Drosophila melanogaster: one gene and its partner. The protein of the gene in region 1 interacts with the protein of each later gene in a pairwise test. Each region holds a gene or a part of one and is shown in the gene's direction. Other genes may lie near its edges.

What was found.
Region 2: the proteins of CG10254 (region 1) and Obp58c interact in a two-hybrid assay, tested with the Drosophila melanogaster proteins (one large-scale study listed by BioGRID).

The regions. Positions count from the first base shown.
Region 1 is NT_033777.3:23,679,437-23,696,998, reverse strand, and holds CG10254 (uncharacterized protein), read left to right. Parts: upstream 1-2,015; 5' UTR 2,016-2,046; intron 2,047-2,272; exon of another isoform or gene 2,273-2,473; 5' UTR 2,474-2,550; coding exon 2,551-2,976; exon of another isoform or gene 2,977-2,993; intron 2,994-3,137; coding exon 3,138-3,400; intron 3,401-3,459; coding exon 3,460-3,664; intron 3,665-3,851; coding exon 3,852-4,110; intron 4,111-4,186; coding exon 4,187-4,928; intron 4,929-4,986; coding exon 4,987-5,890; intron 5,891-5,953; coding exon 5,954-6,923; intron 6,924-6,988; coding exon 6,989-7,207; intron 7,208-7,261; coding exon 7,262-7,470; 3' UTR 7,471-7,992; downstream 7,993-17,562. Other genes in the region: prt (portabella), read left to right, coding at 1-59, 123-247, 314-406; CG10252 (uncharacterized protein), read left to right, coding at 837-855, 917-1,135, 1,196-1,382, 1,454-1,718; SPE (Spatzle-Processing enzyme), read right to left, coding at 8,885-9,308, 9,369-9,678, 9,895-10,287, 10,638-10,713; CG18754 (uncharacterized protein), read right to left, coding at 11,123-11,519, 11,585-11,818, 12,294-12,615, 12,870-12,942; CG16710 (uncharacterized protein), read right to left, coding at 13,115-13,544, 13,617-14,229, 14,421-14,496; eIF3d1 (eukaryotic translation initiation factor 3 subunit d1), read right to left, coding at 14,859-15,413, 15,490-15,782, 15,852-16,487, 16,610-16,808; GILT2 (Gamma-interferon-inducible lysosomal thiol reductase 2), read right to left, coding at 17,159-17,263, 17,322-17,562.
Region 2 is NT_033778.4:22,701,510-22,714,780, reverse strand, and holds Obp58c (Odorant-binding protein 58c), read left to right. Parts: upstream 1-8,102; 5' UTR 8,103-8,120; coding exon 8,121-8,162; intron 8,163-8,218; coding exon 8,219-8,567; intron 8,568-8,627; coding exon 8,628-8,836; 3' UTR 8,837-8,909; downstream 8,910-13,271. Other genes in the region: CG30268 (uncharacterized protein), read right to left, coding at 1-332, 398-693, 770-915, 977-1,140, 1,194-1,341, 1,401-1,700, 1,765-2,042; CG30275 (uncharacterized protein), read right to left, coding at 2,140-2,364, 2,422-2,631, 2,687-2,935, 2,998-3,161, 3,212-3,786, 3,845-4,081, 4,175-4,458, 4,509-5,066 and 6 more; Obp58d (Odorant-binding protein 58d), read right to left, coding at 7,067-7,465, 7,520-7,648, 7,705-7,833; Obp58b (Odorant-binding protein 58b), read right to left, coding at 9,213-9,424, 9,489-9,840, 10,024-10,071; Obp59a (Odorant-binding protein 59a), read right to left, coding at 11,375-11,620, 11,702-12,064; CG30259 (uncharacterized protein), read left to right, coding at 10,383-10,523, 10,594-10,846, 11,139-11,362, 12,277-12,855, 12,912-13,271.

The DNA.
Region 1 (17,562 bases):
CAGCTACGGAACAGTCTATGCTATCCAGCAGACCTCTGTCAGTCTGGCTTATTGCTTAGGTAAGTGGATATTGTTTTTTTTTTTTTTCTAAAAAAAAAAGTGTATTTTTATCATCTTTATAGCTCCCCTGATTGGCGGGGAGTTGGCCCAGACCTTTGGATTTGCTTGGCTGATGCGCATTGTCGGCATTTTCAATATGATTTATGGCCCAATATTGGTCTACTTGCATCAGAAATACGATCCAAAGGTATCAACATTTTTTATATTTTTCGATTAAGCCGTCACTATTTATATGTGTTTTTTTTTTTAACAGGCCCTTAGGGAACAGCATAATGATATGCTGCTCCAAAGCAGCGGGCGGGGATCTAGGTATAAACAACTTTACAACTCCATGGATGTGGAATAAGCTGTACTGCCCAGTTGTCCAGCAAAATAGCAAACAACCTTGAGTGTGCAAATAAGGCGTTCCTTTGGCTCAATAAAGCAATATATCTGGAGCTGATTTTCGTAAACAATTTATTTTTCCGATAAAATTCGAATCTCCTATTATTAAAATCACTTTGCCATGTCTTGAAGTAACTTAGGTTATTATGATCAAATTTTCGGAATAAAAAGAATTACGTAATTAATATTTGAATGGGTTATGTGTGAAGGAATTACGGTGGTAAAACTTTTCTATAACAAGTGTGCTATGGCTCTGACTTCGAATGGAGCTGCGATGTGAAGTTCTATGAAAGCCTCATTCTGCTACTGGAATCTGTTCGGCCAACACCTAATATTGGGTTCTAAATTTTCAAAATAGATTTTCTTTCTAATATTGCACAAAACTAACAAAAATGGCGGTGCGACCTTTTGGTGAGTGAGAATTCATAAAATTGTAATGTGGTAAATAATATATTATACATGCTTTTTGTAGGCCCTGGACCCGGCGTTTACATGCTGCCCCCCACTGTGGGCTATGATAAGCATGACAACCGCAAACAGCGGTTGCCGCAGTACTCTTTCGGCATGCGCACCCGTGCTCCTGGTGAGGATCTGGGTCCTGGTCCAGGGGCCTACAAGGTGGACAAGTTGACTCGCTATGGCACGAGCAAGGGTTTGGAGTTCTCGATGGCGCCCAGAACCAATGTCATCGGTAAGATAACTTATTAGTACTGAAGACAAGAACGTTTTTGGTTAAATTGCTTAATCGTAGATAAGCGAAGCAGTCCCGGTCCGGGAGCACACGATGTTCATAATAGGCCATTCTTTAAGGGGGTTAATGCTCCTTCGTATTCGATGGGCCTACGAACGGACTTTAACTTCAAGAAGGATGGTCCCGGTCCCAATGCCTACAAGTACGAGGTCAATGCCGTTCGTCCTGGAGTCCCGAGCTATAGCATGTGCGTATTTCAATCCTACCATAGTTATTCCTTTACTAAGTTGCCTATTTTTATTTGTACCTGTATCTCAGGGGACTACAAACAAAGATTTTGAACAAGACGAATTCTCCGGGTCCGGCTGCATATGGCGGTGGTGATATCAATGTCAAACTGACACGTGCTCCGATATACTCGATGCAGCCGCGCACCACTATTCCGGGCGAGAATGTCGGACCTGGACCCAACTACTACGACCTCATGTACTATCGTCCTGGCAAGAGTGGACCGGGCTACTCCTTTGGTGTGCGCCACCACCAGTTCGCTCCGCCTATGATAGTTAGATGTGACAATATGTAGACCAAGTGCAATATTGGAAGAAATATATGCTAAAATTTTTGTGAATAAACAATTCTTTTTAAACCAAGTTTCATTGTTTATGGAAAATGCTTAACGGGGTATTAAAATGAGATTGAATTTGTTTTAACTTGGTAGAACGCAATGAGCGTTACCTTTATTGGAAAAGGAAGGGAGCATTTTGATGCTAGTGCGCCTATGATGTGATACACTTGGCTCTGTACATGTCTAAAATACAAGTAGTCCCTGAACGATGTGTCAAATTAACATTTGATAATAGAAATTTTTGGAAAAAGCACATTTACATTTACATTATTATATCAACGTAACGGTGAGTTTTTAGGCAGACAACAACACGCGTTACTATTTTACGGAATTGAGAGTAACTGAATTTGTATTTAGACTATCCCATTTCAATTTCGCGGGCAAATGCTCATCTTGTTTCAACCGTTGTTTTCTCTTAACAGAGCGCTGTTATCAAGATAATGGTTCGAGTGCTCGCTTAAAGGCACTGGAACTCGGAACCATTGATTTTATCTAACTCCGGTATTTTTCAGTCACAAAATTCTTTTTATCAAAGTTTCTCGTTTTGTTTGTAGATTTTGCCTGTTTTATTTATAGTTTTTCGAAAGAAGTTGGCGAAATTGTCCAAGCAAATTTATAGTTTGCTCCAGTGTCCGTAAATTAGATGTGTGTTTGTGTGTCAGTGGCTCGTCGGGCATATTATAGGAATTTGTAATAATTAGTGGCCAATAAAGGGAGAAGAAATATATTCACCGAGCATTCGCCACGGCAAAGTTCTTGCCGTCCATGTTCCCAGCTTACGATTGGTAACATGATGAGCGATGTGGCGGGTGCGGCCGCTCCAGGTGGTACACCAGGTCAACCGCAGCAGGAGCAGGAACAGTCTTTGGCGGAGGCTGCTCCGCGTACACCGACGCTTGCGAATCCTCCTCCATCCTCACAGGAGCTGGGTCGGACCCCCAACCAGGAGAGCCGCCATAACGCAAATTCCCACTCCCGTCGATCGGGTGGTGGCCAGGTGCCATCGAAAGCCCAGGGTAACACCGAGTCCCAGTTCTTCTTAGAGGATGGGGTTTTTCGCATTGATCGGCGCGGTCGCGTCCATTTTGGCTTGGTAACCGCAACGACCGAGACCTATTCCTCCTCCGAAGAGGAAGATGTCGATTCGCTGTCCAGGGGCGAGGTGCGTGTGGCCTTCTATCCGGGTGGCAAGGAGATGGTGATGACGGAACAGTCGGTGAGTAAACTCCATTGAGGTTATGTAAGTCTCACGGTCTCTCCAAAAAAATAACTGTTTTCACAACTGTTTTGAGTTTGCTCTTCAAGTTCTTTTGACACGTGTTTGTTTGCTTCTTTTCTTTTGTTCCATCGACATCCGAACATGTGGCATATACACAGATTGGTCTGGCGGATCGCACCCTAATGCCAGGCGATGTGGTGCGGAGGCGTCTGCCAGGAGAAAACGTTTTGGCTGGCCAGGCGGGCTACGTGCGGGATGTCAATGTACGCGCCGATGTTATGGTAATGGGCTCCAGAATGGTCATTAAAAATGTGCCCGCCGAGCGACTGCGTCCGATATCCGAGTGGAACCAATATGTGCCTCTCTGCATGGACACCTGGATAGGCACCATCATAGACATTAATGAGTGCGCTGTGCTCAAGTATGTTTCATATCTCTCAATCAACTCGGGCGAACATTATTTTCAATATTTTTTTGCAGATCATCCAACGGTGCCCGTGTGGAAATCACCTCCAACGATTTCCACAAGTTTAAGGATGCTGTGTCCGAATGCGATCGCACGGTCTTCAATCCGAATGTCTTCTTTCCAGGAAACATTGTAATCGGTCGCATGCCGCCCCCGGATCGTGTCAAGAATCTGACCCCGGAGATTACCCATCCCTTAACTCGCAAGGGTCGTGCTGTGGTAGGGAGATATTAATCCTTTATAGATTTGTAGTCTCAGATTGACCGATTGTATATACTAGTTACGCTATTATTTTATGTAGCATTCGCCCTAGTTTGATTTGTCATAGTAGATTAATTACATTTTTACTTAACTAAAGAAGGCCCTCCCATACTATCGCTAATTGAAAATAACCTTATTTATCCAGTACACCGTGGAGTCTGTAGAAACTACATCAATTAATGTGGATTGGTCCTGCCGTGCAATCGGAAATGCCACGGGCAGCGATGACACAGACAGCGATCCTCTAAAGGAGCCAAGGTCCTTGATCAAGGGTGAGGAACTGCACAAAGTCAAGCGCCTTAGCCTCTATGAGTCCTACGAGCTGCAAATTCACGATCGATTCTACCTCAAATATTCAAAATGTGATCTATTAGTTAAATATGCCGACTGGGAAAATGAACAAGGTAGGATGTTAACAGGAAATAGGTTTAGAGGTAACAATAAATTATATATATATATATTGTATTTCACGTATTACAGCGGAGAAGTACATCCCCATTTTTCACGCCCAGAAAAAAATGCAGCGCAAGGCCAGCAAATTGAACGCATCTGCTTCCACTAGTGGAAATGCTCGCAGTGTACCAAAGTTCCGCCGCATGCCCAATAAAATCAGCGGTATGCGACTGCCTCGACCGCCAAGCGACCAGACTCACAATGCTTGCAAGTCGTCTAAGCGCAGCAAAGAGGATGTGTTGACATCGGAGGATGAGGATGAGTTCGAGGAGTTCATGCAGCCACTTGATCAATCGATGACTGCCGAAAAAGAAGTGGAGGTTGCTGAGGACGCACTGCCTCCGTCCGCTGCTACCACAGCTGCAGCCGGTGTCGAAGTCCAGGCTCCCAGAATAACGATGCGATCTGCTAAGAGGCGACAAGTAAAGAAAAAAATCCGCTCTGTCAAGAAAACAATTTATTCGCCTTTTAATAAAAAGGAAACCACTCCCAAGGATGGCGATGAAATCGTAGTGGAAACGCTGGTCGTTTACAGCTCGGTGACGGTCGTCTGGCAGGATGGCACGGTGGAGTCAGGCGTTCACTCCACTCAGCTCTATCCTATTCATCATTTGGACAACCATGAATTCTTTCCCGGTGATTTTGTGACCAAAGCCAACGATATCAGTACGGGAGCCACAGACTACGGGGTAATTCAGTGCGTGGACCATGATGCACGCATAGCCAAGGTCATGTGGTTCAATATCTACACGAATATTGATAATCCAATGTGAGTGCACTTTTTTGTTTTTAGCTATATAAATTATAATTCTATATATTTTGTTTAGCCCTTTGTTCAAAGGATTGGAGGAGCTGAGCGTTTATGACATGAAGGATCACACCGATTACCAGTACCGACCCGGCACAGTGGTGATCCGAGTGTCAAACTTCACGGGTGAGGATGTTAACTCTACTGCTGGTCAGGTGATCGACAACTACCCGAATGGTCGTGTGCGTGTTTGGTGGGCGAAGGGCCATATCACATTGTGCTACCCTCAGGATCTCTTTCAACCATTTGAACAAGATGAACAAAATGAACAAGATCAAGATGTCTACGGATCAGATGGATCCGAAGACTCGTGGGAGACGGAATCGGAAAACAGCCACATATCGTCATCGGACAACGATGACGACATTCTTACGGGCATTGACAGAGCCACAGAGGCAATGAAAGTGCTAGAAAAGATGTTCCGCGTTTTACATCCCAATCGGAAAGCGGAAGTGCTTTACGATCTGCTGGATGTGTACAAAAATTGCCGGGCCTTAGACCGTTTGCTAAATACTAAATTTTTCGACGAGTTTAATTTCAAAGGCATTGTGCGTTGCAAGCCTATTACCTCTAAAGTTTGTTCTGACAGTGCCACCCATGAGCGCGCAACCCCAGAGACCCCAGAGACGTCGGCCGCCGTTCCCAAAGAGTCATCAACGCTCCAAGCTGAGTTGGAACCAGTTTTAATGGATCCGTCTGTTCAGTCATCATCAAGTCCTACTAAGCGAAAATCCTCTACGGAGATGGATGAAGTTCTATGCAAAAAGAGCACGGATGAGATCTCGGAGGAGCAAGATTACCAGGTGGAGGTAGTAGAGGTAATAGAAGATCCGCCGCTAGTGAGGGAGTATCGCTGCAAGTACAACGAAATGTTCGCCAACGCACGTAGAAGCATTGCAAAAGCGATTGAAAATCGTACTAAGGTAAGAGTCCTTCAAACAATAAAGAATTTTGTTTTTTTTTTACAACTTATCCTTTGCTGCCAGAATGATTCTGGCGTACACTCTCGCGGTGAAATCACCTCTGACGAGTCTAATAATCATCCAGACAGCGAAAATAAGTTGGACATAAAGCATCCCACAATAAATGTAATGGATGATTTGGAAATTGAATTGGTTGCAAGTGGAGATGCTGACGTCTGCGAAGTCTTCTGTTATTTGATCAAGTTTCAAATGGCCAGAATTCGCAAGACGGTCGCTGTGACGTTGGGCAAGACAAATGACAATCCCAAGCAAGAGAAAGAGGATGTTAGCGATGCAGAGGAAGCTATTGAGGCGGTCAGCCAGGAAGCGGAACTAGCCAATGATGGTGCTACCGAGTGCAATACAATGGCTGAGGACGAAGCTATGGAAGAGCCATTGAATCTCAACGCGCTTTCCGAGTCACTGCCGGCTATTGACCAGACAGGTCCCATGGCCTGCTCCTCACCATCTTGGTCAATAATTCCAGACACGCCCTCCGTGGACGAGAATTGTTTCCAAGTGCTGCCCAATGCACCAGCTGCACATAATTTTATTAGCAACCTGATTACCCCGGCCAACAAGGCGCAGTATCAGCGAGCTGTGCAGCGGGAATATCTTATGCTTAAGTCCTCGCTACCTAACGGAGTTGTGGTACGTGCCTACGAGGATCGCATGGACCTAATGTCTGTAATGATGGTGGGTCCCAAGCGCACGCCCTACCAGAACGCTCTATTCTTTTTCGACTTTCAATTTGGGCGCGATTACCCGAAGAGCCCGCCGGTGTGCCACTACATCAGCTACTGCACGGATCGTCTCAATCCAAACTTGTACGAGGGTGGCAGGGTATGTGTGTCGCTACTTGGCACATGGATGGGACGCGACAACGAAGTTTGGTCGCCCAGCAGCACCATGCTCCAGGTGCTCGTCTCCATACAGGGACTCATACTGGTCGATGAGCCCTACTATAATGAGGCGGGCTACGAAAAGCAAAGAGGTAAAGTGCTGTTTCTATTCAATGCCATAGACTGAACTTAAAATGGTTTCGCCATTTATTTTTAGGCACCCAACTGGGCAATGAGAACTCTCGTGTCTACAACGAGATGGCCATCATAAAAATTGCCCAATCCACGGTGAAGCAGTTGACAAATCCGCCGCTCATCTTTCGCAATGAACTTATTGAGCACTTCAAGGAGTTTGGCACCGAGCTGTATGCCCGCATGCGGGCCTGGTCGGAGTATTCTCTTGAGGCACAGCGCCAAAATATAACCAAAATCAAGGGTGAGTCAGCCAATAACTCAGTTTTGCTCGATTATTCATAATCCATTTTCTTAGACATGCCTGTGGAGTACAAGGCGTCTTGCGAGCTACCCGAATTCCCGCTGCTACCATGCAGTCGAGGCTTTTGCATAGCGGTCAAGCGCGTTTTGAGCCAACTTCAAAGCGAGCTAACTGCCTTGGGTGCCAATCTGGTTACGGATGAACGTAATGGCATTGCGACTGGAATTGGCACTGCCCCGCGCGCTGCTCCGGAGGAGATCTGATTGCCACTCATCCTGGCCAGCGTATGCCTATGAAAATGGTGCCTATCAGAAGAACCACAAGACTTTTGCCGCCTGCGTTTTGGGAGTCTGATCTGGCCCTCGGCAAGTGTCAGCGTTTTATAGCCCCTATCTCGAATCTCGAATTTCTATCCGCTCGTATTGCTGGCAGACAGCCTTTTAGTTAAACAAAATTTTCTACGATTATTGGTTATTAGTTTAAAAAACAACAAACAAAGCTGAATTATATATAGCGCGCAACTAAGCATAAATTGTTAAAGGAATCCGCCTCATGTAATGTCAGCGAGTTTTACTTTATGTTGTTATCAGGCCAGCTAACAAATAAAATTTAATGTTTTGTTGCGAATATTGTGAACGCTGGCCTACGCGAATATTTGTAGGCATTCCACTAGAACCTAGCTTAGTTAGTCCATCCCACGTCCAATCAGCACCATGTACGTAATATTGTAAGCTAGCCAATGCGAGAAATGTGAATAAACTAGCAATTTTATTTATTATGCCTCCAATTTCTGCTTTATCCAATCGATGAAAGCCCCCCTGAGGGTATATACACCGGGTTATCCACCGAGGCCGCACTGCTTCGTGCCGTAGGAAGTAATGCCAGCGATGTAGAATACGTCCCGGCTGCCTGTGGATATGGACACCATCAAGGGACCGCCAGAATCGCCATCGCAGGTATCCATAGCCGTACATGCCGCCGGCGCACAATTGGATCTGGATCAGATCGCCCGTGGGCAGGCAAATGGGGCGCACGTAGTCGGTGTAGCTGGTGAATGAATAACAATGATGAAGAAGTTATGGAATACTCACACATCCCACACACCCGCCACTCCTTTTCAATGCCACTCCTTTTCAAAACCAAAGCAATGTCATTCTGCTGGTCTACGGAATTAGGCAACTATTGGTCATGTACAATGCCCTTCTCCACCTCGTGTGTGGATATATTTCAAAATTTTAAGCGGATCCAGGTGAAATCGTTGTCGTTTATGGCATCCCATCTGAATGTTGGACCCACTCGGAAAATGCGCAGATGACCATTAGCAATAGTAGAAAATTCCATTCCATGGAAGCCATCTCGATACCCCAGAACCCAATCCGATACTGACCAAGCTCTCCGGCACATCTGCCGTCTAGATTGACAAGTGAGATGGCTATTGCAACAGAGATAAATGAGTTCCAGAGATTTTCCTCTACTTTTCCATTAGAATATGGGAAATTACGTGGGCAAGCTACTACCAGACTTTGCTGATCACAGATTGACAGAAAAGTGGTTCGATATTATTACAACCGGTTGTGCTCGCAAAACTTGACAGTGCCGATCTCATGTGAATTGATTAAACCCCAATATCTACATCGCGCTTTTCACATGGTTATCATGTATTTAAGTATGTATTCATCATGGCTCCAATTTCTGCTTTATCCAATCGATGAAAGCCCCCGTGCGGGTATAGACGCCGGGCCATCCCTTGAGGCCGCAGGGCTTCGTCCCGTAGGAGGTGACGCCGGCAATGTAGAAGACATCCCGGCCGCCCGTGGATATAGGCACCATAAGGGGACCGCCGGAATCGCCACCGCATGTATCCACGCCCAACTGGCCGCCGGCACACATCTGAGAATCGTCCAGTTTCACCTTGAAGCTGGAGTACTTTTCCTGACAACTCGTTAGGTTCCAAACGTTGACGGTGATCTTCAGCTTGATCGCACTTGGCTGCATGTTCTCGGTAAGTCCCCAGCCGGCCACATCCATGCCGTAGTCCACAAAGTTGTTTTGGACTAAACCATCCGTGGGAAGGCATATTGGACGCACGTAGTCGGTGTAGCTGTGGCAAAAACAAAAAAGCAAGTCAGTGGAATAATTGAGGGATCTCTGGACCACATACCTAACAATCCTCTTAAGGCGCACCAACGCAATGTCATTACGCTGATCAACGGAATTGGGAGCATACATCTCGTGGATGATGCCCTTCTCGACCTCAATGTCGATGTGTTTCGGTGCACAGATGCGCTGTCCGTTCATCTGGGTGGTGCAGTCAGGATCGGTACGAGTGTCCCACTCCCCCAGGCGAACGCTGTGTAGAACGGCACCGGATTTGTCCAGTTCTCGGCTGGCCAGGCAGTGTCCAGCGGTCAGGACGTAGCGCGAGTTGAGCAATGCACCGCCGCAGTTGAAAGTGTAGGTTTCAGAAAAAACTGAAAGGATAAAGAGCGTTTCCCAAGTACATATTATAAATTGATTAGATACTAATAATAGCCTTGTATATATTGAATATGCGTTTTCTTATAATGATGATCCCCCCATTGGAGAATTTGATTTGAAAAAGTGATTAAAAAATGATTACAGGTGACCTCGTGAAACAACCTTCCTATAAGAGATTAAAATAGAGCCTGGGTAGGTAATCTACTCACGTTTTTTGTACTGCAGCAATACCATCCATGGGAATTCCCAGAGGGTCGTATTGGTGCCCCCGAAAATGCGATCAGCGAAAAGGAAGCCGCAGACGTCATTTCCAGGCAGCACATCCCCCTGCTGCAGTGCATCCCTCGTCGAAGGAGTTGGTTCCGAGTCCATGATATTGCCCCGCATGCTCTGCGGACAGCAGACCAGGATTCGATTCACCAAGCCCTCAACCCTGTTGTCCAGGCCACACTGGCTCTTGGAGAGAAGGATTCGCTGGGCGGGAGTCTTTGGCTCCACCATCAGCAGGTTGGCCAGGTAGGGGCAGCTGGTGATGTGAACGCACTGGCCGCGCTCATCGCTCTGCTGGGGCGTACAACTGCCAAAGCTGATCTCCGCTGCGTCTGGAAGAGAAGAGCGCGATTTACGATGCAGTCTAACCGGTTCTGAACCAATCCATTAAAGGCAATCCATTCTACTAATGGACTTCATGTCTAATATTTCTCATAAAATTTCTTAGTCCGGGAAACTATATGTTGATATTTAATATATTTGAAGTTTTCAAAAACTCTTTGATTATTAGTTGTTATGGTTTTTATTCTCACAATCAACAAGGTCAAGTGCTTAGTTTTTCTAGCTTTATTCAAACTATATACTATACTATACTATATATATAGAACTATATACTTTTGAAAGAAGCACCATTGCATCCAGTTGCTGTGGATATTGTTTGCCCAAAGGACAGCTTACCCACCTGATCGATGGACCAAGCCGGATAATGCGCTGACCACCAGTGACAGTAGCAGAAAATTCCGTTCCGTAGAAGCCATCTCGTCGCTATGGGCTCCAAGCTGATACTAACCAAGCTGTCCGGCAGTTTCGCTGTCACCGATTCTCTCCCGATGCATTGGGCGTGATTAGCAGAGGTTATCTCCGGACTCAATACCATCTAGATTGCAACAAAGGCAAAAGCTATGTGAATAGGGTGGTCTTTCCCTGCCTTAATATTTACATAGTAGTTCTGCTGAGCTGGGCAAACCCAGCGGTGTAGTTATTAGAAATTTATTTATGCTTAATCTTCTCTCGGCACGTTATGTTTTTTGAACAACACGTTTTTTAAAAAACAATCTTCAGTGCTTTTTCTTATCTTTTGGGGTTTTATAGGTCTATTACTTTATAGTAGTGGATTAATGGAACAGATGCTATTCCAATTTTGCAAATATGAATTCTTTATTAAAATTAGGGAGCCAAATTCGCTTTGATCCACTCCGAAAAGTGGCCAATTTTTGTGTAAACACCTGGAATACCAGCAGAGTAGCAATATTGTTGTCCATATGAGGCAATGCCTGCCAAAAAGACGAACTCGTCGACGCCGCTTCCCATGATGCCCATTACCGGACTGCCGGAGATGCCCGCACAGGTGTCCCCTTTCCGTTGACCACCGGCGCATACTTGGGACGCGGAGCGAAAGCTGGGATACCTATTCAAGCAATCAGCAGGATTCCTTTCCTTGACCGTGCTGGTGATCAACGTTTGACTGCTTTTAGTCGGATCCCAGCCAGAGATTTGCAAATTCAAATCCTGTAGGGGAAATTCGGCGTCCAATAGACAAATGGGTTGGATCTTTTTCGTGTATCTAGCGGGTTTGTAAAGAAATTTCCATAAGATGTGGAGATTAGGGTGGAGATCACTGCTACTCACCGCACTGGGAATTGCAATCGGAGGAGGGCGATGTCGTTGCGGTAAGTTCCGCCACTCGAAGTGAAACCCTGATGTACTGTTGTTTGCCCCACCTCCACATCCAAATGTGGACACCTGCTTTCCGAGGTGATGCAGTCGGTAGTGGACTCGCCCAGGCGCACACTCTTCAGAACCAGGTCATTCTGCGTCAAGTAACCACCGATCACGCAGTGGGCAGCGGTCAGCACATAGCGACTGTAAAATCCCAAATGAGAAGACTTTACTCGTTGAGTTTTTGTAAGAAACTAATTTTATTTGGAAATATCTTCGGTTTAAATAGGTGACATGAGAATCGCATCTTAAAGTAAATGGCCTACGCAGAGGCCTAAGTAAATAGTCCCCGCCTTATCGAGGTCCCACGCTCGGGCACATCTGCCTATCTTGAGCGGCGAGGACCTTATCTGTGGTCTCCCACTAAGGGACTATTTTAGGAGGCGGGGAAAGATCTCAAGTGACTGACTCATGTAGTGTGCACTTAAATTACATGTTTTTGAGCAATGCACCCATGTCGCCTTAGATAACAAAATCCTAAATATAATTTATCGCTCTCGATTCATTTACATAAGATATGAACGGAGCCCAAAATTGTAAGTCTTTAAATATATTCGTGTTCATGTGTGAACAGCGACTGTTGATCAGTGAGCCCGCACAACCAGTTCGTTGATTCCACATCAAGGATAGCCGATTCTCATATAACAGCAATACCATCCAAGGGTACTCATTAAGCTCTGCATTCTCGGCACCCCGATCTCGGAACACGGGCGTCGTTTGTCCACAGGTCTGTTTGTTGGGCAAGACGTCACCCAACTCTGGGCAGCAGACATAAACCATGTGCAACAACTCGTGTCCATTGGGGTCCAGGCCACACTGCCTGTGTGCAAACACATCTTTCTCCGCCTGGGTCATGCCCCGGGGCCTAAGGATGTTCATAAGCGGCGAGCAGCTAACCAGTCTGGTGCATTTCTCATCCTTTTGGCAGCTTGATAACCGAACTATAAATTACAAAAATAGATAAGTGAAAGCCCCGATAAAGTATAGCAGTACGAGTCTATGTGGAAATATTATTATTATTATTATTTTTGAATATGATTTATAATAAAACGGATCGATGGATATGATAATTTTTATAATTCATGGGGTCGAACGTGACCTATTCACAGCACACATCCTCTGCAAGGATATTATTGAGCAAGATATAACATCTTCGGTTTTTTACGAAAACTTAAAAATCATTGCTTTTGCTTACCACACTCAGCCAATTGGTTGAAGAAAATGGCCTGGAGAAGGACCAAAATATAAACTTTACGTCTGTCCGACATGCTAGACATCCAAACTCGATCTGACACTAAATATACAGAATAAAATGGATCAACAAACTCATAAATCCCAATGACTCAATGAAATTTCCTAATTTATTTTTGCGATAATTTGGGCTCAGTGCCGGACAATAAATATTTCTTTTCTTAACCAAATTCTACTATTTTGATTATTTCATTGGAATATATTAGTGTACATGTTCCATAGAATCCATTCAACGAATTTGGATGTCTTTGTGTAAGCTGCTGGTCCGTATCCGCACTGACTGTACCCGTAGGATGTGATTCCGGCTAGATATACGAATTCCTCGTCACCACGTTCCATGATGGCCATCAGCGGACCGCCGGAATCGCCCTTGCATGTGTCATTGCCTCCCAGGTTGCCGGCGCATATGTGGGTCTCCTTGTCCAATCCCAAGGATGGTTCACTCAATGAGCACTCGTCCGCGTTCCTGCCATTGACATAGGCCTGTAGCAGCACATTGCTATAGCCCTGCTTATGAGAGAGTCCCCAGCCAGCTATTTGCAACTTATGGTTGCTGAAGGACGGATTCGAGAAGATATAGTCAAGTTGAACACAGATGGGTTTGATTTGAGCGGTATAGCTAAAGACATATGAAATGTATATATATATATATATATGTAGTAAAAGATATGACAGGTCAAGTGCAACTAACCGTACTGGAAACTTCAATCGCAGCAGGGCGATGTCGTTGTAGGGCCTTTCCTCGAAGACCATGTAGTGCCTATGCTTGATACTCAGATCGACGTCAATTTCCAGATGCTCTGGAGCGCAGTGTTCCCTACCATTAATATGGGTGACGCAGTCGGGATTGCTTAAAATGTTATGCTCGCCAAGGCGCACCCTCCTGAGATCCAATCCCGTTATCCTCAGACAATGGGCTGCGGTCAGCACATAGCGGTTTGTGATCAGGGATCCAGCGCACCTGGACACGAGTCTTTCATTCCACACCGAACGGCTGCGATGCGCATATAGAATCAGGGCCATCCAAGGCAACTCGTTGGGTTGCGTCTCCTCTCCTCCGAAAATTCGATAAGCCGGCATGATTGGTCCACATATCTGGGTATTTGGCAAAATGTGTCCCATATTTGGGCAGCAGATGAGAACTCTGTCCAATAATTCCTGCCCCTTGGGGCCATAGCCGCAATATCTGTCCTCGAATACCGCCTTCTCGGCTGGCGTCATGTTGTGGGGCTTCAGAAAGGGCAAGAGTGATGTGCAGCGGGCTAGACTAATGCATTTCTCATCCAGATTACAAGGCGGATATTCTGATACAGTAAAGAATTGGATATTAATAAATATTATATTATGTGAGTCATTTTAATTGGATGTTTAGATAATGATTGGACGAAACAAAGCTATTTATATTTTAAAATTCAAGGAAATACCCATATCCAAATGAATCATTTTCTTGAATGTTATAACGTATACAATGTGGAGTACTTGCAACATATATTACCAGACTCAGCCAGGTACATCAGCAATTGAGTATGCAGGACCAGGAAGGATATGTACACTCTTTGTAGGAAGACCATCTTTAACCGTCAGAGTTTAAACAATGTCTAAATCTTAACTAGATGCCCGACACGCACAATCAGCTTACTATATATGAGTCCGGGAAATGAGTCAGTCATTTACGTACAAGACCTCGGTGTTTCAGTCGAAAGTTTTTATCACAAGTACCCGGCATTAGACCTGGACCAATAAAAATTCATGTATTGTTTCGCCCTCTGTGATTTACTAGGAAATATCTGAATTTAAATCGAATACAAATGCTTAAGCTAGGGCCTATAACATGACCTTTTCCTTTAGAGGACATCAGTTGTGGTTATTCTTAGCGGGTTGTGGCAAAAGAGCCCAAGACTGGAAGGGATGCAGGAGTAGGGGGGCGTGGCGTCTAAATCTTGTTGTGCGCGTAGTTGTAGACCTGCTGGAAACCTTCGTCATCGCCCTCGCCATCGTCCGAGTCATCGGAGTCGAAAGTATTGTCTGGGATGTCGTACAGACGGATGATCGGCTTGTTGGGGTCCTTCATGATCAGGTATTTGCCATCCTTCTGCTTCATCACCAGATCGATGATGCATCTCAGGATTCCCCAGGCGTTGTCCATGCTCAGGTTGATCTGAGTGGCAAATTCATGCGGCTTGAACTGCTGCGTGCCGAGGATGACGTGACGCGAGTGATCTCTCGGATTGATACGCGACACATAGCCGAGCTTTAGCTGATCGGACCCGGCCAGGACGGCCTGCACAGTCCACTTGGCCAGCTTGCATGCGTTGTTCCTCAGCTCGTTGGCGAGCACAGCACCGCGCTGCGTGTCCAACTTTTGACGCCATTCCACGCCATTGGCCAACTTCGAGTCCCACTCGTTGAGTGCCTTGATAGTCATGAACTGCGGCTCGCCGCTTGGCGTCTGCAGGACACCATCGTGCTCGCAACGCGCTACCAGGACCTAAAAGTATAAGACAATAGTTTAACATAATATAGAAAAATATTCCAACTTTAAAGTTGGATTATGCAACACTTACAATATCGCTTCCCAGCTCCCACTTCTTGTAGCGGTAGCCCACGCTGGCGACTTGGATATCTTCGTCCTCGCTGATGAAAGGGTTGCTTTCCTCGAACTTGTATTTGGGTTCCTGGTCTCCAGTCTTAAGCACCTGCTGGCTAAAGTTGTGGTTAATGAAAGTCGCCTCGATGGCCAGGTTGCGAGGGGAGTTGCATGAGCTGTCGTCGTCGGTCGGTGGTTCCACGCTGCTCTCGTTCACGGTCAACAGATCGAACTCGGTGTGGTCACGCTTGTCCATGAACACCTTGTCGCCTAAAATAAGGTTACAATTATTATTTATTTCTCTTATTATTATTATATTTCGTATTTCATTTAACATACCAACTTTCTCGATGACAATATCCCAGGAATAGTTCGATCGCGTAGAGCACATGATGGTGGCCAGGATGGCGTCCGTGGCGAAGACATTGCCGACGGTCTTAGACAAACGCCGGATGACGGGATCGTCTGTGGTGGTCACCGTATGCACGATGCGATCGATCTTCTGCAGCGGCTTCTCGTTCTTCACATTGATGCGGTCGTAGGTCTTGTCGTAGTACTCCAACGTGCCGCAGGTGACAATATCGACGCCCTCCTTGATGTTGGGCAGCGACAGCTTGATGAGTCGCGGGAAGTCCATCTCCTCGATGGATGCCCAATCGGCGCGGACGGCCACCGAAGATTCGCGCATCTTTGGTGGTGGTCCGCGATGACCGAACTTCTTGCCCATGCCGCGACCATGGCGCGGATCGCGGGCCTTTACATTCTTGCCGCTGAGCGTCGTCATGCCGTGAGTATTAAGGCCACCGCGGGCATTCCTGCCACGACCGGAACGCGAATTCCTCATGTTGCGGAACCGGCCGCGCTGGTGCGGCGGCTTCTGGACGCGGGCCGTGTCCACCAGGTGGAAGGTTGTCTCGTCCTCCTCATGGTAGTACGAGTACTGAATGCCCGTGCCAAAGCTGGAGGCATACTTGTCTGCGAATGGAATACCAACCACCAATATGTTAGCAACAATATCATGCCACGACACACCTACCTAACCTCACTTTCGGCGATTAGTATTTTGTGGGTCGGTTTCGGGTGGGGAATAAACTCACTCTGGTACTTCTTGTCGTTGTTCGACGTATTCGTCCAGTCGCAGATCTTGCCCAGACGATCGTTCTTGCTGAACGGCTGGTACGGCACATCCTTGAACGTATCGGGCAGCTCGCAGGGACCCCAGCCCTTTTCATTGAACTGCACGGTCGGCTTCTCGAAGCTCGGGAACTGAGCCGCGGTGTTTATGGTCTCGCTCATCTCGCGCGTTTACCTGGTGCTCAGTCTGCAGTCGGCTATTCGGTCTATATACAGCGATTTTCCAGAAATCAACAAAGAAATGTGGAAAATTCGTATCGTCGCGTGTTGCGAAAATAGTTGAGTGGGACCGTTGTCGCGTTGAAATATACCACCGCCAAAGAAAAATACTAAAATCGTAGCGAATGTTCAAAGGTCTGGCAGCATGCTGTCATAGATGGCGCCACTGCTGGGCGGGAAAACTAAAAATTCGAACTATTCATTTTTCAGAACCTGATTTTACGATTTAATTACAAAGAAAATGCAAAAAATATTTTTTAATAAAAAAATGTATTGTTAAATGAACACAATATTTATTGACAATTATTTAGCTGCTTATTGAACTTTTCCTTATACTTGGCGCAAAAAATGGCATCAAAATGATCAGTTAAGTTTGCTGATAGATCCGCGTTATAAACCTTAAAATCACAAAGTTTTATTTTAGATTTCATGAATTTCTTTCGCATTTAAACTCACGTTATCCAGAGCTACGGCTGGCACTCCCTGAAATGAGACCTTGGCCGTTTCCTTGCCGTACTTCCTCAGAATGTCGTTCACCTGTCGCGTTTTCTTGCAATTTTTGACATCGCCCACGTCGATTTGATAGTGGTCAGCGCACTTTTCCAGCCTGTTCTTCTTACCCCTCATCATGCAGGCGATCAGCTTGAGGGATTGGGCAATGTCATGGTGCTCCAGTATGCAGGCGTGCCACGCGTTC
Region 2 (13,271 bases), on another chromosome or scaffold:
AAGCCAACCAACGGGCAGTCGGTATGCTTCTTCGATTGGCCACATCGAATGGTGAAGCAGGTCAGATCACACATTGGATCCTCGAGGATTTCCCTTATGATATCCTCAAATATGGACAGAACGTCCTCTGTGTAATTGTCGATCCCTTTACTATCCTCAGAATCATCTTCCGACAAGCTTTCCCTTTTGCGGGCCTGTTTGCTTATCAAGGTTCTGATTTCATCGATCTCCTGACTTTCGAATCGATGTACGCGGAGTTCCCCAAACAGCGTACTTCGATGCGCGACGAACAAGTTTTCGGAAACGGTGCTGCTCGGACGATGGGCAACCGGCTGATGGATGGATGGATAAGGGTGAAGGAACTTTCAGCGGAATTTCAAATCCCATATTCACTCACCAGAAAGAAGCGGAGCAGCTCCCGCTGGCAAGGACTCGTGGACACGTTGGCCGGCACCAAGGTCACACAGTAATCATGATCCGGAAAGGCGCTGAACATGGCCGACAAGGAGTAAAATGTGTACTCATAGCGGACCAGTGGATGCAACTGAAACATCTTCAGCAGGAAACCATTGGAGGCCTTTGCCAAATATTGCAGCCGATTCTCGCTGGTCGATTTCTCGCCATCTGGCAAATCGAAAGATATCTCCAATTTGTCCTGATGCGCTGTTATATAGTAGACTCCCTCTCGGAGTTCTGGAAATATTAATGATTATAATAGAGAAAGCTCGATTGGCGTTTTCTGTGGTAGCCTCGTTAAATTTTTACTCACCCTCGTAGATGTGCTTGTACTTTTTGAATAAAATATTCCTCGTTTCATCCTGTCCATCTGTGTTAATTCTACTCACGTGCGATTTATACCTTTCTTCCATTTGCTTTCTTGTGAACAATTCCTTATACGACTTCAGTTCTACTGAGCTAAATATGAATGTAAAATTGAAAGGAAGATTTCTTCCAATGGAGTGCATGAATCACCTACATCACTTCGAATCCAACATGGGCGTGCGTACAACCCGGTGTGTACCGCACCAAGTTGCCCAAACGTTCCAAGTGATAGTTGGTGGCCAGCATCTTAATATCAAGGGACTGAGATAGCCACATTAGGCCAGCTCCCTTGACGTTATCGGCAATCTCCTCCTCGAACTGCAACATTTCACTTAAGTCAGTTTCGGGACAAAGAACACACACCTACGCACCTCAGCAATTATGATCTTATCGTTATGATCGGAATCGGAACCTTCCGCATTCAATAGGTGCTCTGCGATGTAAAAGTCGCCGTGCTTTTTACGCAGTTCCGGATCCTCGGAATCTATCATTTCGACAATATCGTCATTGTCCTCGGGTCTGGTAATGAAGTAATGAAAAGGAGGAGGCATGGATTCAGATTTCTGGCACCAACTTACAGCGCCTTGCGAAAGGACAACACTGGCATGGTGCTGCGCCGTTGGATCACGATGACCGCTGGCAGATGCTTCTGCTCCGAGACTTTTGAGTGCTTTGGGTAATAGGTTGTGCCAAAGGCCTGAACGGCATCGTATTGGCCTGGCGGGCAATCTGGTGGCTTAAACACCAGCATATAATTGACCAAATGCTCGGTGTAGAAGACCTCCAAGATGACCTTTTTGAGCATTTGGCTGTGGCCATCCTTGCAGATGAAGAAGTTAAAAAATATTGCATTGAGCAGCGTGATGGGAAGATCAACGCTATTGGAGGAGATACATTAGTGAGCCTAGAGCTTAAATTAGGATTCATTCAAAAGTGACATACCAAAAGCGAACATTCAGCCAATGGAGCCACAGATCGTTTGCGAGCACCGGAATATTTGGATGGTTGGCAAACTCGCTGTAGGCCAGCAACAAGTGATACTCCTGCTTATTGTAGACTATCAGTCGCTGCGCCTGATTTTTTAAGAAAAGAGTGTCCAGTGGTGGTGTTTCCTTCACCCCAAAGTGCCAAGTGCTTTTGGCGTCATAGAGGTCTTCTATGCGCCGCTGATCCCGAATTCCCGCTGTGACGATTAATATATTATCATTGCTGGTGGTCATATTTTTTTTATTTTAAATTAGTAAAATGTGTATTTGAGTCTGAGCACTGCACATGAAAATCGGAAAGTACACAACCAGACTGCTTTGCATTTGAAAACTATGTTTCACTCAAGTCCGACGACGAATCATTTTCCTCCGTATCCATGTATCGCTCGTAATCAGCCAGGTCCAATTTGAGAAAGTCTTCGGGCAGGGCGAACTTGTGACGAAAGTCTCTTCGATGCTCCCTTAGGAAAGTCAGTAGCTTGAGCTCGATGTAGCGCTTGTTCAGGGTGAAGAAATCCATATCCGTCAATTCGCCCAAGGCTCCACGACCTGGACGCTGTAAAGGTTCAAATAGCAAAGGGAAAATATATTGAATGAACCTCATTCAACCCACTGAAAGTGCCGAAATGGCCATGGGGCTGAGCAGTTCCTTATTCTCCGCCTGGAGCTCCTCAAAGTCATCATGCATGATCAGCTCTGTCCAGGGCTCCTGGAAGAACTTCAAAAAGCAGTGAATCAAATTGGCTCTATAGCGTGACTTTAGCTTGTTCAGGAGCAACTCGTGCTTGCCACAAAAGTACAGCAAGAAGTCCAAATTGCACTCCTAAAGTGACAACATTTATTCGAATGAATATACTTATTGCACAAAATAGTCTTACTTTTTTTGTTACAACCACGATCTCATCCACCATCATTCGCGTTGATAGACCCACACGACAGAAGGTTTTGTTCTTATACGTGGTCAGGTTGCAATTTTTTATGACAGGCACTTGGGAAAGGAGGTATCTCCGAGGCATGGTCACTTTTGTGATGAAGTACCGCAACGGAAGAATGGCTTGGAAGAGCACAGGTTCGGCGAATCGATCCTCGAAATTCTTGTCCGTAACAATGCCCAGATGATGTAAGATCTAAAAATAATTGGGGATCTGAATTGGACATTATAAAATGAGTTAAACGACGCCTTTTTCACCTTGCGGGCCAACTCTCTTTCACTGACAAATTTATATTGGTAGTTGGGTGTAATACGCATTTTAATGAAGCTACCAGCTGCATAGACATCTGGATCATTGGTCTGATAGCGCTCGTTTACCAGAATTTGATTACCGTCGAGCTCGATGCCGGCATTTTCTAGCCCTAAGAAGTTTCAACTTTTACCAAAGATTTTAGCCATTAAGCATACTTACATTGCTTGTGCCGTTGATGGAGGTGTCCCTCCTGGAAGGAGATAAAGAGGTCGCATTCGAAGGTCATCTGTTTTTGAGTGGGGAAATGTTGAAATATCACCTCCATAATGAAGTCTGTTGACTTATGCAAATTGTAATGGTGAAAGTCATAGTCCGTAAAGATATTGACTCCCTTCTCCACTAGGATGTCGTCCATGATCATCTGCAAGTTTTTGTCCCAGTATGGACACTTTTCCTTCATGTCCGCATCCCTTCCAGTGATGCGATGTGGCTGGACGAACACCATCCGCGAACAATCCACACCGTGGCCGATCAGAAAGGCAATGCACTCGTAGGTGTGTAAGTTGTTGCCATAAACCAGGACCAAATACGTTCGCGGCATATCCTCCAGGAGTGCTCGAACCTTGTAGAACAGCAGGAACTTGTTCAGCCGGAAGTTAATCTCGACGAGGTTGCAAGGTCGTGGCGAGTACACCGGCACATCTATACAGCGAAGCACGAACATCCGGTCACACATCAGCAATAGCGTGTCATAGTAAATTTCGCACGAGTCAAGCTTCACAAACTTTTTATCTCTACGCATATTGAGAGCACTGTCAGTCACTAGGTTCCATAAGTTAATGACTACCCTACCTATCGACCTTTTCGACCTTTCCTGGCACAAAGTGCACCCAGCATCGCAAATCAATCCGCATGCAACAATCTCTCACGTAGCATGACTCATTTCGGTACGAAAGATAGCATCCTTGCCTATTAGTGCAATAAGGACACTTGAATAGGCTGTCATAGTCCGCCTCTACAATACCCGCCCTGCAAATCACGGTCACTTGAAGCCTAGTCAAACAGGTGAAGTTTTCCGAGTTCTTGTGGCTAATGAGAAATATCAAACATATTAAAAAGACGAAACGAATCCGTCTTGTAGGCTCATATTCGAAATCGCAAACAATGTAACCCTATACTTACTCCTTGCTATTCCATTGAAACACAAGCTGTCGCAGAAAGGCCTTCGTCACTGCACTGAATCCAATGATGACCAGTTTTTGGCTGTTGGTAAACCACTTAACCGGATTGAGTTTGTGGCGATAGATGATCAAATTATCCCTAGAGAAGTTTGGCGGTGGTAGATCCAGCTTTTTCCTCGGTTTTTTATGATTCGCCTGGACCCTAGTAAATACCGGAACCTTTTTAATGGGCTTCGGCTCTACGACCATCATCATCTTTTTCAAGTCGTTGCTGTACTTATAGCCCTAAAGAGTAATTTTATCAAAAGTAAATTTCTAGCGCACTATTCACTTACGTCGACAGAATGAATGAAATAATAATCGTAAAAGCTTGTCTTCCTGGCCAAATCCCTAAATATCAGACCGGCACTAACCAAGAAAAGAGGATGCAAACGCAGTGATATGATCTCTGCCCTTCGTCGATTCAACTGATATTCTTGCTTGGGAAGGTGGTAGTGTTCAAAGAGTTTTTCATGACTGTGAAATTCTCGCACAATCACAAAACCAATCGCAGTGTTTTCCCTAACAGATCTCGTAGAGATCCCACACCGAATCGTGAACACGGCGAACTCACTAAACTCATTCTCCAGCACATCCTTCATGATCGCATCGAGCACATGGAGCTCGTGCTCCAGCTCCTCCCGCTCGTTTACCTTGGAGCAGTACGAGAAGCTGCTGCTGCTTGAATTAGGAGTTTGTGTGTTACTGGGCAAGTTCCCAAGTGCCAACTTGTGCACATGTGCCACGTCCTCCTTTTCCAGTTTGTACAGACTAATCTCCCCAAAGATGGTGCTGCGATGTGTTATGAATACATCGTCCAGGCTGGACAGATTACTTGGCCGTGATGCGACTGGCTGGTGTATGAACTATTTTAAACTATTTCGTTGACTTAAACTAAGTCTGGCCTACCATAAAGTACTGCATCACCTCCAGATAGCTCTTGCTCGCCTTGTACTTCACCGACATCAGCATCATGCAGTAATCCCTGTCCGGATAGGCGCTGAAAATGGCCACCATTGCGTTGAAGAGGCGTGGCAGTGGGAAATCCTGTCGTGCCACAATGCACCTGAGAAGGAAAACGTTTGATGCCGCCGCCATGGCCGCCGGACCTGCGGGCTCCGTTCCGGCCGGATATATAAAATTAATCACGCTTTGTTCGTGCCGCAGATAGTAATCGGTGCTGTGGAGTTCTAGATAAACCCATGTTATGAACGGAGCATCCGGCATTCGCAGTACAACTCACTCTCAAGAATGTACTTGAACTTGGAGTACAGACATTCGCGCATGTAGAACTTATTTTCATTCGCCACATTTGTATCCACAATTGTGCCGCCAATGGAGCTGACCTTCATCTTACCCAGGCTGGCCACGCTGTTGAGAAATATAAATCATTGTGGATATTTGCCTTACAAATTAATAAATAATCACACCTCATACCGCTGTCAACCTTTTGCAGTCCTCCCAGAATCGTCACCGCATTCAGATCGTCGAGGGCATCTGCGGTGAACATGCTAGCCTCCGCTCTTCGCTGTACCGATCTGCAGGACAGTCGGTAAGGAATTACTCTTTCCGCACGTAAAGCCATCACTTACGACACCGTCATCGTCTCGTAGTGGAAGGACCTTCCATCCGCTGGCTTCACCAGATTGCCAAATTGTTCCATCTCGTAGTTGCGCACATAGAACATAATGTCTATATCCGAGGACAGCCACAGAAAGATGGCCATTTCTGACTCCTGCGACTGATTGATTGTTTCGGCCACAACAAGCATACTCTTCGGATTCTGTCCCATTACCTCCTCGGCAATGTAGTAGTCGCCCAGCTCCTCTCGCATTTCTGGGTTCTCGACCTCTTGCATTGCTATAATATCGTCGTTATCTTCGGCCCTTCATGGGAAATATTTAAAACAAAACAAGAATGTTATTGAAACAGTTTCTTCAAATGCCTAACAATATCTAACAATATCTTAGTAGGCGATATCGATTTCAGACAAACTGATTAGTAGTCTGCTGCTTTTTAAGAGGCATTTGAATTTAAAATTTCAAATGCTATTTCTGATATAGTATACAATTTGAACAAGGAGCACAAAGAACAGAGCTTACAGTGCCTTCCGGTAAGTAATCCTCGGCAGAATTACGAACCTATCCACAATGTACAGGGACTGTGTGTTGTTATTCTTATCCATGCTATATTCCAGCGGGTAAAAGACCTGGGATATTTTTTCCAAATCATCGAAGGTTTCCACAAAGTGGATGGGTTGTGGCACATACGGACACCTAACAGTGATCAGAAACCACACCCTGCTCTCCCTGTAGAGCACATCCTTTATGATCTCAACCAGAACCGGGGACTGATCGCTCTTGTAGACGCAAAAGTTGAAAAACAACGCATTCAGCCAGCTAATGGACATGGATAGGCTAAAGGATATATCGGAAATAGATGATATATTCAACGTTTTAAGTCCTTGTATCAGTACCAGTATCTGGTGGACAACCATTCCAACCAGCAATCCGTGGGCAAAGCGGCAATGGAGGGATAGTTACGGAACTCGGCATAGGCCACCAATGCGGAGGATTCAGTGCAAAAAGCCAATATCCTGTAGGTCTGATAGGAATTGAACAGGGAGTCCTTGCCACGAAATTTCGGACGGATATTGCCGAACCACTTGACACCTGGCGATCGAATCAGCTTGTTGAGCCCATCCTGGTCTCCCGCTTGAGCCAAGCGAATCTGAAACTGATTCATCAGTGCGAATAATTTATGTGTGTGGTGTGTGATTAAAACTAAAAAACATACTGCGTTTATAAGCTTAATTTTATTACATGACATTTTTGAGTTTTTTTAATACGTATTCTTAGGCAGGACTCTTTGTGGGCAGTGTAATTCCATCTATTTGGTAGCATTCGGCTTTGGCATTTTCGCACATATCCTTAGTTCCTGCCTTGGCAGTGCCCTCCCACCGGAAGTAGGGACACTCGTGCTTCTGATGATAGTCACTGATGCACATGAATACCATCAATAGATAGGGGCGACAGGCTCCTTTCAGGAGCACCTTAGCCCCAGGACTGGCCTTTAAAAGGTTGTAGACCCCAACAGCATCCTTGCGACAGAACTCGAACATGGCAATGTGATAATCCTTCTCCTTGGGCCGATCCACAAATGTCTTTTCTGCATCCAGCTTGACCATCTTCATGTTGATGGTGTCGCTCTTACCAATGTACTTCTTTTGCTTGTACAGGCACTCCACAAAGCACTGAAGATACAAATATTTTCGTTATAATAGATATATAAAGCTTTAATTACCTACCGATAGAAACCTCAGTGTCTTGCCGATGTCAGCGTCCCCATCCACTGGCAACTTGGGTGAGTGTATAACGAAGCACTTGACCAGGTCCTCCTCTTCTCCTATATAAAGTTCAGAACAGCAGCCAGCCCTCTAAATTGAATTTTTAGACTTAATACGTTTGCTGTTCGGTTTTAAAGTAAGCTCACCGATGTGTTACACTTATCCTCAGTCAAGTCACCTGAAGATATGGCAACTGCAGTAGTTTCCTCATTATCCTGAGCCTTTGAAACGGCCACCAGAATTAGGAACGTCCAATAACAAACAATGTTGACCATTGCTTTTCGAATGTGATTAATTTACCATGGTCATAACATTTATAAAACCATGCGTGCTCATCATTTTGGATAAATGAATTTAAACCCAAATTGGATTGCTTAATTAAATGTAACAAATGTCCATTGTAATGACTGGAATTAAATGAGCGGATAAAGAAACATTTGCAGACAGTCTGATGGCTCGACATTTGGCAAATTGGCAGCGGTTTCCTGTTTTTATTTAAACGATATGTGGGTGACTATATAAGCTGTCGTAGTGGGCTGATTTTGGTATAAACGGCGGAGCAATGAAGTGCACCATTTTATTGAGTTTTTTCAGCCTGATTTGGGTGAGTTCGAGGAATGAAATTCACACTGTTTATATATATTCAAATACATGACTTAGTTTGCTGGTGGAATTAAAATTGATTGCGAGAATACGGAGGCCATTAACGAGGACCACATCCACTATTGCTGCAAGCATCCCGATGGACACAATGATCTAATCGAAGGATGTGCCAGGGAGACCAATTTTACGCTGCCCAATCAAAACGAGGAGGCACTGGTGGACATCACGGCGGACCGAGCCATCCGAGGCACTTGTTTTGGCAAATGCGTCTTTAGCAAACTGAACCTGATGAAGGACAACAACCTGGACATGGATGCCGTGAGAAGTTTGTTCACTGAAAGGTTTCCCGACGATCCGGAATATGCCAAGGAAATGATCAACGCCTTTGATCATTGTCACGGCAAAAGTACAGAGTTGTTATTTCAGCAAGAACTTCTTGGCTAACTGATATTTTTTTCACCAAAAGGCGAAGAGAATACCTCCATGTTCCTGTCGAAGCCCCTCTTCAAGCAAATGTCCAAGCAATTCTGCGATCCGAAGTCTAGTGTCGTCCTGGCCTGTGTCATCCGCCAGTTCTTCCACAACTGCCCGGCGGATCGCTGGTCGAAGACCAAGGAGTGCGAGGATACCCTGGCCTTCAGCAAGAAGTGCCAGGACTCGCTGGCTACTTTGTGAATAATGAGAATATCATTCTTCTGCAATAAAGAACATTAAATTTACGATTTACGACATTCGAATTATTTTGTTTAGATGAAAAAATGTTATGCATTCAGAATTATTCTGTATATTTGGATGTTTTTTTTTTTATAGGGATGTAATGGTAAACAAATACGATCAACTTGACATTAGTTAATATCGTATTTTTGCAAGTGATTTGATAACAATAAATCCATTTAATTAAATGTATTGCTGAGTTGGCATTCAATCACCCACCATTACTTATAAACCAAAAGAGCACATGAATTGAGAGCCATTGTTTTGCTTTAATCATTGGAAAATCATTTCGTTTTCCCAATTAAAATGTATTTCCTGAGGCAGGACTCTAAAGTGCTTACATAGTAGTCAGCACATCCTTGCACTTCCTAGCAAAGGCCAAGGTTTCCACGCACTCGGTGGTATTTGACCAGCGACTCGCTGGACAATTGTGGAAGAAGTTGTAGATGACGCAGGACATGATGATACTCGAGGTCGGCTTACAGAACTTGGCGGTGGAGAAGGCCCTAACAATTGGAAGTGATAGGAACTTTTCGGTGGCCTCTTCAGCTAAAATTTGGAATGGAAAAATTCAATTTTAAACTATGTTGATGGTTATTTTGCATGAGCTCACATTGTGTGTGACATTTTTCGTAGGCATTCAGCATTTCAGTCGCGTACTCCGGATCTGTTTGATGGTACCGCTTGTAGTACGAGCGCACCTTGTCCATATCCAGTGTGTTGTTCTCCATCAGATTGTAGTGATCGAAGACGCACTTGGCCCAGCAGGTTCCAACCATCGCCTGGTCCACGGTCACATCCACGATGGCCTCCTCATTGGGACTGGGCAAACGAAAGTTGGTCTGCTTGGCGCAAGATTCCGTGACATCGTCGTGGCCATCCTGATGTTTGCAGCAATGGTGGATGTTCTCCTCGTGAATACGCTCCATGTGCCGGCAATGAACTCGGACAGCCACGAGTCCATTCTGCATAGAAATATGCACATATTAAAGGATTAAAAAGTAGCTCGAATACGGATCCCCGATGGACCTTGAACTTTCAAAATTATTATGTACAATAAATCCGATCTAGTGTGGATAATCCATTAAAAACACCCTCGAACATTATCCAATCCAGAACAAATTGAAAACGGTGTTATGAGTACGTACCAAGCGCAGTGATATAATCACACAAATCACGAAACCAATTCTCAGCATGATGACAGCTTTCCAGCGGTTCGTCCTCAGTTTTATATGTCAAATGGTTCCCCTTTGATGGACAGCCCTAATGGCGTTTTCCACTGTTTCGCATTAATTTAATTCGCATCCATTATTATGGCAACAAACCTGGCGACGAAAAGCGAAATTATATGGAGTGGGTGGGCTAGTGAATCTTGTCATGGCAACGCCGGCAGTCAATTTATTATTTATTTTCCAAGGCGGCTCTTTGCTCGCCTAATTAGTCAGAGATTGGCCTTTGAAATTTGATAAGCTGATTTTTGGTAGCCGTAAAAAAAAAAAACTAAATCATGGGCAAAAAGGGTAAAGGAAAAGGCAACAAATTGGCCAACATGTCCGAGGAGGAGCGGGCCAGGTATTTGCAAATGAGGGCCGACATGGAGGAAGAGACGAGGCGGCGGAAAATGCAGCTCATTTCCATGTACATGAAGGTAACACACCACGAATTTGCAGTAAATCAAAATCAAAATCCCTATGGTATGACTTTTCCCATTAAAATAGAACAAACTGAAAAGAGAGGATGCTTTTGGTCGACTCAATATGGCTAAAATCAACCAGGAGTGGCGGAGCATTTTGCGCCAGGTGAAAATCCAGGAGCTGCGCCGCGAAATCGTCGATGTGGAGTCTTTCTTTCAGGAGGCACTTAAGCGCAAGGACCAGGTGATCCATCGCCTCATTGCTCACATAGAATCCACCGAGGATATGTACGCCAATCTGCAGCAGTCACACATGGAGAATATCACCAGGATAGTTGGTACGATTGGGATAACATCCTTAAAAATAACATTTTAATCAGAAACTAAATACACAGCTACAGCAATATGTTTAAAGATACTTAAAATGAATGGAATGGATTTCACATGTATATTAATGCTTTCGTTAATAAGAACATTGAAATATTTGGAAATCCAAAAATTACTGGAGTATTTTGATGTACATTTTATGAACAATAAGAAGCATTGTAAAATGAAAATTAAAATGGACACAAACCATTCAACGCAACTAGGCCTCATTTCTAACCCATTTATTTCTTATCCTTTACCCAGATACCCATAGAGATCGCATCGAGTTCTTTCGGACGATCTACGAGGACGACAAGCAGGCGGTGCTGAGCCAGTGGGAGCAGGACTCCGCCGCGTTCAAGGAGATGCATGCCCAGAAGCAGCAGCAACTGGAGTGCGTCTTCTATCAGCTGGAGGAGAACACCGATGGCGGGATCCGGGACAACCACGAGCGTTTCTTGGACCGCTGCGAGGACCTAAAAAGTGGGGTGAGTTTAATCCTAATTGAAGAGCATGTTGCCGTGCTCCTCCCAATCCTCGCACTGCGCCTTCGCGTACTCCGACATGCACTTGACCAGTTCCCGGGCCGCTGAACACTTGTGGTGCCGGCCCCTTCCGTTGCTCTCCAGATAGCGGAAGCACTGCTGCACGGTGTCCGTGAAGAAGTTGCGCAGCTCCCGGTCCCGAAGGTCCTTGGTCAGCAAATAGCTCACCTTGCGCCGATCGGGCATCCCATTGCCATCCACCTGTGGGTGAGAATTGAAAGGAATAAGCTCCTGCTTCTCTGAAGGATTTCGACTTTGAAAGGAATCTCTTGGATCACCTACCATATTCATCTCCTCGAAAAAGCACTGGGCCACACACTGACCTCCATCGTTGCTGGTGTGGTTCCTGCCATCCGATTGCCTTAGTCCTCGCTGCCTTCGATTGCCATAGCCGCCCCTGTTGCCTGGATTCCTGTCCTGCTCCTCCTGATCGTGATCCATTCCGTAACCGTACTCATAGCCATTTCCTTGCCGGCCCTGTCCACCTCGTCCTCGATCTTCGTCCTCGTCCTGGCGATGCATACAGTTGCGCACAGTTCGCTTGAGCTCCGCTTCACTTAGTCCCTCCTGGGATCTGCATTTCAGTGCGTAAATGGAGCAGGTGCCGCAGCTCAAACAAATCAGCAGGAAAATCAACTGTTTCATCTTGGGAACTGAATGGAGGAGCAGCTATGCCCACATCATTTATAGTTCTGGAGAATGGCATCCAAATTACAGAGTGACTGACGCACAATGAACCAAGACACATATCAATCTTAATTTTACAATTGCGTGCAATGCTCTTCGATGATTATATTTTACAATAAAGGTTATTTTAAAAGTTTATGAAAACATGTTAAATTGAACCCCACTTCCAGATGCAACTACAGCTGGAGCAGATCACCTCCAGAGGTGAAGCTCGATTGGAGAAGCTGTGGCAGGAGTATCAGGGTGTTCTGGCGGGCTACTGTCAGCACATCGAAGGCTTTTACTCGGAGTACGTGGATCTGAAGCAGCGGGATGAGGAGGCAGCCCTCCAGATTAGCCAGCAGACCCACGAAATCGAGCACCTGGTAGACCAGCTGACCAATTTGCGTCTGGTCTCCGAGGAGTTCTACATCAAGCAACAGGGCCAACTGGAGCAGCGGCAAGCCATCAAACAGCAGTTGACCGAGCGACTAAGGGAGCTACGCACCTGTGTGGAACAGGAGGTGGCCAGGGATCACCAGTTGTTCAAGCTGATGTCCGTGGAGAGCTACCATGCCTTGGAATTCCTCCAGGAAACTGTGGCCAAGGGCGAGACTCTGGCACAGTTGTCTGCGGTCTGTGCCAAGATGGAAACCCAGCGGGAGCGGATGTTCCAGTTGCCGGAAATATCCAAGGAGATTATCGAGATTCGAGATATAGAGGATCAGGGTAATGGTTCCTTGACTGACCCAGCCACTGATCTTCTTAAGGTGAGTAAAAATGCCAGTAGGTAATTTCTTCATTCAACATTGGTTTAACGTACCAGGACGAGGTGGCAGTGGTACCCCAAATGGAGTCCTTCTGGCGACGCGTCAACAACGTGGCCGTGGACGTGGCCTGCCTGAAGCAACAGAAGCGTCGCCTGGAGGCGGAGAACAGCCAGCTAAAGACGCAGCTGCAGGACTACCTGGTAAATTTGAACATTGCCAATGGCTCCAATAGCCACGTCCATAGCTATCTAGCCCGGCGGCCCAAGAGCATGTCCGTGGACAGAGTGTCGCGCCTGCAGCTCCAGCCCAAGCTGGTGAAGAGTGCCCAGCCGACTGGTCGTCGCCCAGCGGCGCCCACACCTCCCACTTTCCACTTGCATCCAGGACGCAGCCGAGCGCCTGCCTTCGAAGCCAAC